Linked DNA regions of Coturnix japonica. The protein of the gene in region 2 interacts with the protein of the main gene of each other region in a pairwise test. Links are inferred from orthologs where the notes say so. Each region holds a gene or a part of one and is shown on either strand. Other genes may lie near its edges.

The links.
Region 1: the proteins of PUM2 (region 2) and DAZL interact in a two-hybrid assay, tested with the Homo sapiens proteins (2 studies listed by BioGRID and IntAct). The link is inferred for Coturnix japonica from reciprocal best matches to the Homo sapiens genes PUM2 and DAZL.

The regions. Positions count from the first base shown.
Region 1 is NC_029517.1:31,523,624-31,527,274, forward strand, and holds part of DAZL (deleted in azoospermia-like), read right to left. Parts: intron 2,789-3,651; coding exon 2,654-2,788; intron 2,398-2,653; coding exon 2,306-2,397; intron 1,033-2,305; coding exon 981-1,032; intron 1-980. UniProt on the Homo sapiens protein: RNA-binding protein, which is essential for gametogenesis in both males and females. Plays a central role during spermatogenesis.
Region 2 is NC_029518.1:92,782,413-92,786,163, reverse strand, and holds the start of PUM2 (pumilio homolog 2), read left to right. Parts: upstream 1-1,390; 5' UTR 1,391-1,634; intron 1,635-3,751. UniProt on the Homo sapiens protein: Sequence-specific RNA-binding protein that acts as a post-transcriptional repressor by binding the 3'-UTR of mRNA targets.

The sequences.
Region 1 (3,651 bases), on a different chromosome or scaffold from region 2:
TTGTATCCTTAAATTACTCATTAGTGACTGCCAGGTTTCATTCTGTTTTACGCACACTATCCATGCCAATCTTTGCTGTTTTATCATTGCCTCAGTATGAAGCCACTTACCTTTATTCCTTCAAATTTTCCCAACAGATCCAAGACTTTAAATTGCACCAAGACCAGGACTACATTAATTTTGTTTCTGACTTCATATACAAAGAAGCATACAGCAACAACAGCAGGTATTTGTTTTAGTTTCAGCTGGGACAGAGTAGCTTTCCTTCAGTGTCTGGTATGATGCTTTGTTTTGGTTTTAGGGAAAAAAACAACACTGACTGAAACTAAGTGTCACTTAGTGACACTTCCAGCTGTTGCTGAGCGTTTTTTTTCCCCTCAGCTTCTCCCACTGCCCTGCCACCAACGGCACTGCAGGAGGCACAAGGAACTGGGAGGGCACAGAATCAGGACAACCGACCTAAACTTGCTAAAGGGATATTTTGTAACATATGATATCATGTAGAAGTTAAGTATGAAAAGGGGAGTTCATCAGGCAGCCTGCCACTGCTCAGGGACAAGCTAAGCATTGCTGGGTCGGTGGTGAGCATTGCTGGGTGCATCCCTTGTTTTTTATATATGTGTGTGTAAAGGATAACAGTTACAGACACACACACACAATTATCACAACTGTTACCCATTTTTCCTCTTCATTCTCTTGGTTAACAGTTTTCACCTCAACTCACAAGCTCTACTTTTGGTTGTTTCTGGGTTTTTAATTATCTTCCCATACCACTGGGAAGGAGGGAGTGCAGTGAAGAAAACACTACATGGTACTTCACAGCCTGCTGGGTTAAATCACAACAACATTTAAGCAAGTTTACTTCAGGGCAGTTCTAGTCTTTTGTTTTTACTTTCCTCAGTGGGACTGGTTTCCCCTAACCACACCTACAGCCTTCATATGGAAGGTTCTTCTGACAGCCTAAGACTTAAAGAGCTTACCTCTACAATTTTTTGAACATCCACATTGTCCAGGAATGAAACAAATCCATACCTGAAAAGAAAAAAATATATATTTATATAAAATAAATATATATATGTACACACACATATATATATTTAACTGAAACAGTTAAAAGAGCATACACTGATATTAACAGGACATTAATATATCATTCAGCATGAAAGTACATTTGTTGCTGACCGACAGCACACTGGGCCAAATGAAAGGAATTAAATGCCAGATTCAATACTCTCCCATTTACGTTACTCTAGTGAGTACTATTGTTGATATTAGTAGCATCAGAAAGCCAAAAGCTCTTTTAATTAGGATGTTCTAAATTCCATACTTACTGCAGAGGATTGAACCAAAGGAGGAACTACAGGAATAATTACACCACTGGAGGAAGTGATCCCAAAAGAGGTTTTAAATTTATTTCACTATCTTTTATTTAAGCCTGAATATTGGAGACAATTCTCAGAACTATAGTAGAGTGTGTCAATCAATGGAGTATGGCAATTTATCAATAATCAGAACATACACTTGCCAATCACACATTAGAATTCACCACAAAGATGAGGCAAGAGACATTAAGCTCAATATTTTCAGCTCATTACTATACATGCCTATGAAAAAAATAAAAACCATGCTACATTTTGGAATCTGCTCAGACATAGAAGGGAACTGGTGCACCTTCAGAGCTGAAGTCTTACTCACAAAACAAGTCTAATATCAAAGCTGGGAGAGCTTCCTCTGAACTCCGCTGAGCAGAGTCCTAGGCATCTTGAGTTCTTCACTACAGATCAGAGTTCTTTCTATACATCCAATGGAAATGTCTCTGTAACTTTCTACCATCCCTTAAGTTTCACCCACCACCTGAAACAGTTTGGTTGCCTCTAACTTATCCCTGAGCAACCAAAGACTGCAGTCCCCAATGAAAGTCTACTCTCTTTCTCTCTCTGTTACATTAGTGGTTCTACACTGATTGTTGCCACTTAACTGCTATGGCCGTAATAAATAAATAAATAAATTTCAGCCTGTGAAAGAGCAGCCTCCACAAGCCTCCATTAAGTTTTATGCTTTGCTCCCATTGGTTAAATAACAACACTACTTTTCCATGAACAGGTTCACCAACAACCTAAAATCTGTCCTGTTCTCAACTGTAAGATTACAAAGATTTCAGATCAGTCTAATTTTACATGCTTCACTTTAATTCACCTTAATTTGAAAGGCTTGAGCATCGTAAGTGAGCAACAACCTAACAACAGACATCATTATATTAGAATTCCTTTACTACATAAGCAGTAACCAATGACATTGCGCTCACCCTTTGGAAACACCAGTTCTGTCAGTGATTATTTTCACCTCCTTCACAGTACCATATTGTTCAAAGTAACTTCGAATTTCTGCTTCATTCATCTAAAAGAAACAAAGTCTTGAACTACTTCGCACAGTAAACTGTTACAATTGGTTTAAAGCAACAAATACTATTTTTAAACCCATCTCCAAGTATTCCAGGAAAATCTTATTGGTCTGTTTCGAAGTTCTCTTAACACAGTGTATTAATTCAAGAATGGTAAAGACCCAATTAAAGACCTCCAGAAGTTAAAATTCCTATTTCTTTCCCACTGGAGCACATTACACGTTGTTTTAAACATTGAAAGTATAGAAATACCCTTGTATCAATTCCACCAACAAAGACTGTATTTGGCATGATTTTTCCTTCTGGTAAAACATATCCTTGGCAGGTTGTTGACAAATGGCTGTTATCCTCTGAGATACTTCCACATTGGGCTTCCGCATTTGCAGACTGAAAAGGTTAAACAGAAATATTTCAGTCACATTATAATACGCTTCTAGGTAAGACTTCATCTTCCCATAGATGCAGTTTGAGACCAGAAATGTCAGTAGCATCTTCCCAATTACTTACAAGTATTTAGTGCAAATGGAGCATTCATATAGATAAGTTTGAACCAACTCTTCTTTGAGGTTAAGATGTCAGATCTAGACTCATGCAAGGCTACACTAAGCAGCCTTGCCCAGCTGGAAGCTTCACAACCACTGTTGCCACCACCCAACTTACAAGGAGAACCTCAACATTATTCAGCTCAAAGTTCTACACGATTCCTTTCAGATGCAAGCAAGAAATACTTCAATTCTTTACTGTGAATTGATTATCCAATGAATAAATTCCATCACCTTCCCAATCAAAAGCCTGAAATGCTCAAGAAGCAAGCAAAGCTTATGATTTGTTCACATTGACTACACACAATTCCATTTCCTACTGCTGATGCCACATGTTCCCTACTCTAAAACACACTTCAAATGCTACACAAAGATATTTGCAAGAACTGAAATACACCACAGGCAGATGAAACTCCAGTTCCTCATCTTCTCAACTGAATAAATGGTTCTAGGTACATGCCATTCCTGTAGATAAAAACCACTTTGACCACCTCAGTAGAGCTCATTTCTCTGTATTAAGACATCCCAAAGTATTAATAATCTCTTCCTTACACCTGGTGTGGCATTATCCCTATTTCAGATAGGCAGACCTTTTGATGTAGTTGAGGTTACTGATACTTTGAAACCTAATAATAATTTACAACCCCTAGCACCTATTTTTCAATGCAACAAATTACATGTTTAACACAGAGTTATTTAAACTGCAGC
Region 2 (3,751 bases):
AGCAAAGGTGAGGAAAAAGGATGTGTGGGTGGGAAAGTCCCTCTGTGCAAAATCTACAATGTGTAAGTAATGCATGAGGCCCCAGGGAGAGGCTGCCTGAAGGGGATGCTGGGGCACTGGGCTACAGCTCTCATCTCAGTACAAGCTCCTAAATATCACAGCCACTGCTGGCCTAAAACATGAAATACCAAGGGAGTCCCACAGCCATGCATTTAGCAATGAATCTTGTGGAGGTGGTATTTCAGTATTTTTAATTAATTATGGGTATGTCTGTTGACAAAGTGGTATCCAGAACTGTGCACAAGCTGCCAGATGCAGCGTGTGGTATAATTAATAACTTCATCAAACCAGGACCTGCTCCTGTGAACGCACAAAGCATTCATCTGAGTCAGCACTTCTCGTGGACATGTAGGTAACAAGGGATGTGCTCAGGGGATGTCCTGCCACTCCAGGGCCCTGCTCTGGAATGTGGACAGATAGCTGTCATCAATTGGGACCTGCAGTGCTGTGCAGCCTGAAGGTGGTAGGTGTCCAGCCCAGAACTGGACACAATATTCCAGATGAGGCCTCACCAGGGCAGAGTAGAGGGGGAGGATCACCTCCTTCGACCTGCTGGACACGCTCTTTTTAATACACCCCAGTATGCCATTGGCTTTTTTGGCTACAAGGGCACACTGATGGCTCATGGTCAATCTGTCGTCCACCAGGACGCCCAGGTCCCTCTCAGCAGAGCTCCTCTCCAGCAGGTCTTCCCCCAGCCTGTACTGGTGCATGCTCTCTGGGAAGGCAAGAACTCAACCCTCCCACAGCCACCACCTCCAGGCACATCAGCCAGTCGGTGTTACTAACTCCGGCCACGCATTTACAGTTTATTGTATGAATGACGAGCCCTTCCCATAACGCTGAAAACATTCCTTGACAAGCAACGGCCGCAGCACCCAAGGGCACAAGCAGCGTCGCAGTGCCCGGTGGCAGCGGCCGCTCTGAGGGGAGGAGGGTTCGAAAGGGCTGACAATAGCAGGACACGGGGAAATGGTTTTAAGTTAAAAGAGGGAAGATTTAGGTTGGATGTTAGGGGGAAGTTCTTCACTAGAAGAGTGGTTAGGCCCTGGAACAGGCTGCCCAGGGAGGTTGTGGATGCCCCGTCCTTGCAGGTGTTCAAGGCCAGGTTGGACAGGGCCCTGGGCAACCTGATCTAGTAACTGTGTGTGTTTGGTGGCCCGGCCGGGCAGGGGGGTTGGAACTACACGATCCTTGAGGTCTCTTCCAACCCGGGTCATTCTGTGATTCTGAGGGACACGGCGGGCGGCGCATGCGCGCTGAGCGGCGGAAGGTGCCGGAGGCCGCCTCCCCGCCTCCTCCCGGCGCGGGGCGCGCATGCGCTGTGGCGGCGGCCGGGGCGAGCGGCGGCGGTGGCGGCGGGGGGAGCTTGGCCGCGCTGTCGCTGTCCCTCTCCCTCCGCGCGCGCCCTCCCGCCATGTTGTTGTGAGCCCCTCGCGGCCGAGGGGGGGGAGGGGAGGCCGGAAGGAGACGAGCCGACACGAGCGAGCGGCGGGGGGCGGCGGGCGGCCGGCGGTGTCCCACGGCCCGCTCCGGCTCCGTCGCGGCGAACGGCGCCGCCAGCCAGACAGCCCGTGAGTAGCGGCGGCACCGCGCGGGGCGTTGGGCCGCGGGAGGGAGCGGGCCGGCCCCCTTCCCCCGTTCCTCCAGCCCCCTTTTGTCTGCGGCGAGGGAGGGGAGAGACGGAGAGAGGGCGGGAGGGGGGCCATGTTGTGGCGGGGCGGCGCGGGGCCTGCGCGGCGGGCTGGCCGCCTTTGTGTGCTCGCGGCGCCGAGGTGGGAGCGGGCGGCGACGGCGGGAGGGGCGGCGGGTGGGAGCGGGGCGGGGGCTTTGTTCGGGGAGAGCCGGAGCGAGGCGCTTTGTGATGAGCGGGGAGAGCGGCGGGAAGGAGGGCGGGACGAGGCGGATTGGCGCTGCTTCCGCGCCGCCGGGGCTCGGGCTGTAATTGTGTTCGGAGCCGGCAGCGCTAACACAACTTGGGCTGGGCGGCCGCTGTCGTGTGGGGATGCGATACTGCGCTCCCCCAACCCCCCCCCCCGTGCCCGTTCTGCCGGCCGGTGCCGTGCGGGGCTTTGTCCGCCGCTCCCTGCGCTGTGTGAGCCGTGTCGGTCACTGCACAACGAGGGAAACTTTTTCCGTCCGCCTTGTCGTCGAACAAAGCGCTCGAAGATCTCTTTTAGTTTCTCTTTTCTTCTCTTTGTTGCCACCCGGTTGAGGTGAGGCTGTGTGCTGCGGGTGTGTGCCATACCGATATGTTTTATGTCTACTTACCACCTCACGTTCCCATTTTCATTGATAGAACGTGCTGTTTTGGTACGTTCAGCCATCTCTGGGGCCAAAGCATTGCCAACATATACGGCTGTACCGACATGCAGAATTATTTGCCACCTCCCTGTGACCCTCAGCTCAGTGTGCGCCATGTGAGCACAGACGTGTTGTGTTGGTGGGAGAAGGAGGCGTGGAGCAGGAGAGAGGTGGGAATTCTGTGCTGTACGTTGGGTTGTGTGTGTAGGAACGGCACCGAATCACCTGACAGCTCTCCTAAGTGTTCAGAGAGTTCAGGATCTGGAATTTGGCCCAGCACAGCGGTCAGTAGGCAAATGCCTGTGAGAAGCTGCTTGATAGTGAGCACCTTAATACCCAGATGTTAAACCAAGGGAAGCATATAGGATTCAAATAGGGTTGTTGGTATTTTTCCGGCATTAGTTGGGAATAGCTTTTTTTTATTAACTTCTGTAGTATCGTTTCGCTACTTAATGTTTTTCCCCGACGTTTGTGGTGTTGACACAGAGCTGAGGTCACTGTAACCGTATCTGATGTCGCGGTTGCTCCCGCACGAGGCTGTTGGCTGGAAAAGTTGGACGTGCCCATGTTGCAATGAGAAGTTATCTGTGCACCGAGGAACCGTGTGTTAAACGTTATGTAGGACTGTGGTGGATATTTGTGTAACAATGTGTTACACTGATGTGAATAATCCAGTGTTTGTTTGTTTGGTCTGAAGTTACCATCCAGTTTTAAGGTATGTTACCTCTTGCATCACAGAGTTGCTGCCAAAGCTGTCAGTCACAGCTGATAGACCTTAGTCAGAGAATCATAGAATCACCCAGGTTGGAAAAGACTTTGATGATCGTCAAGTCCAACCGCAGCCTAACCAGAACCCTAACAACCCTCCACTAAATCATATCCCTGAGCACCACATCCAAACTGCTCTTAAACACAACCAGGGATGGCGATTCAACCACCTCCCTGGGGAGCCTATTCCAGTACTTAACTACCCTTTCTGTAAAGAAGTTCTTCCTAATATCCAACCTCAACTTGCCCTGGTGCAACTTGAGGCCATTTCCCCTCGTCCTGAAGTTGTCTTTTTGCTGCAGGTCTCCATGCACACAAGTCCCAATGGAAATGAAGGCAATGTCAGGCTGCCCTCTTGGACTTCACTCTTAGTTTTCACCCACTTTATTTTGAGGTTTGTTTTCAGGTATCTGGAAGTCATGCAGCTTGTTGCCACGGAAAGCACATAAAGGAGATTTGGGGGTTTATATTTGTAGTTCCCTAGTTCCTCAATCGTACTAAAAGGCTGATAGCACTTTGGTTCCAATAGATATATGTGGAGATCACCACGTATCCAAGGAGAAGTAGTTTTTACCTGCAGAAGTTGTGAATATCACAGAGAGGTTTCTCTGGTTGTCAC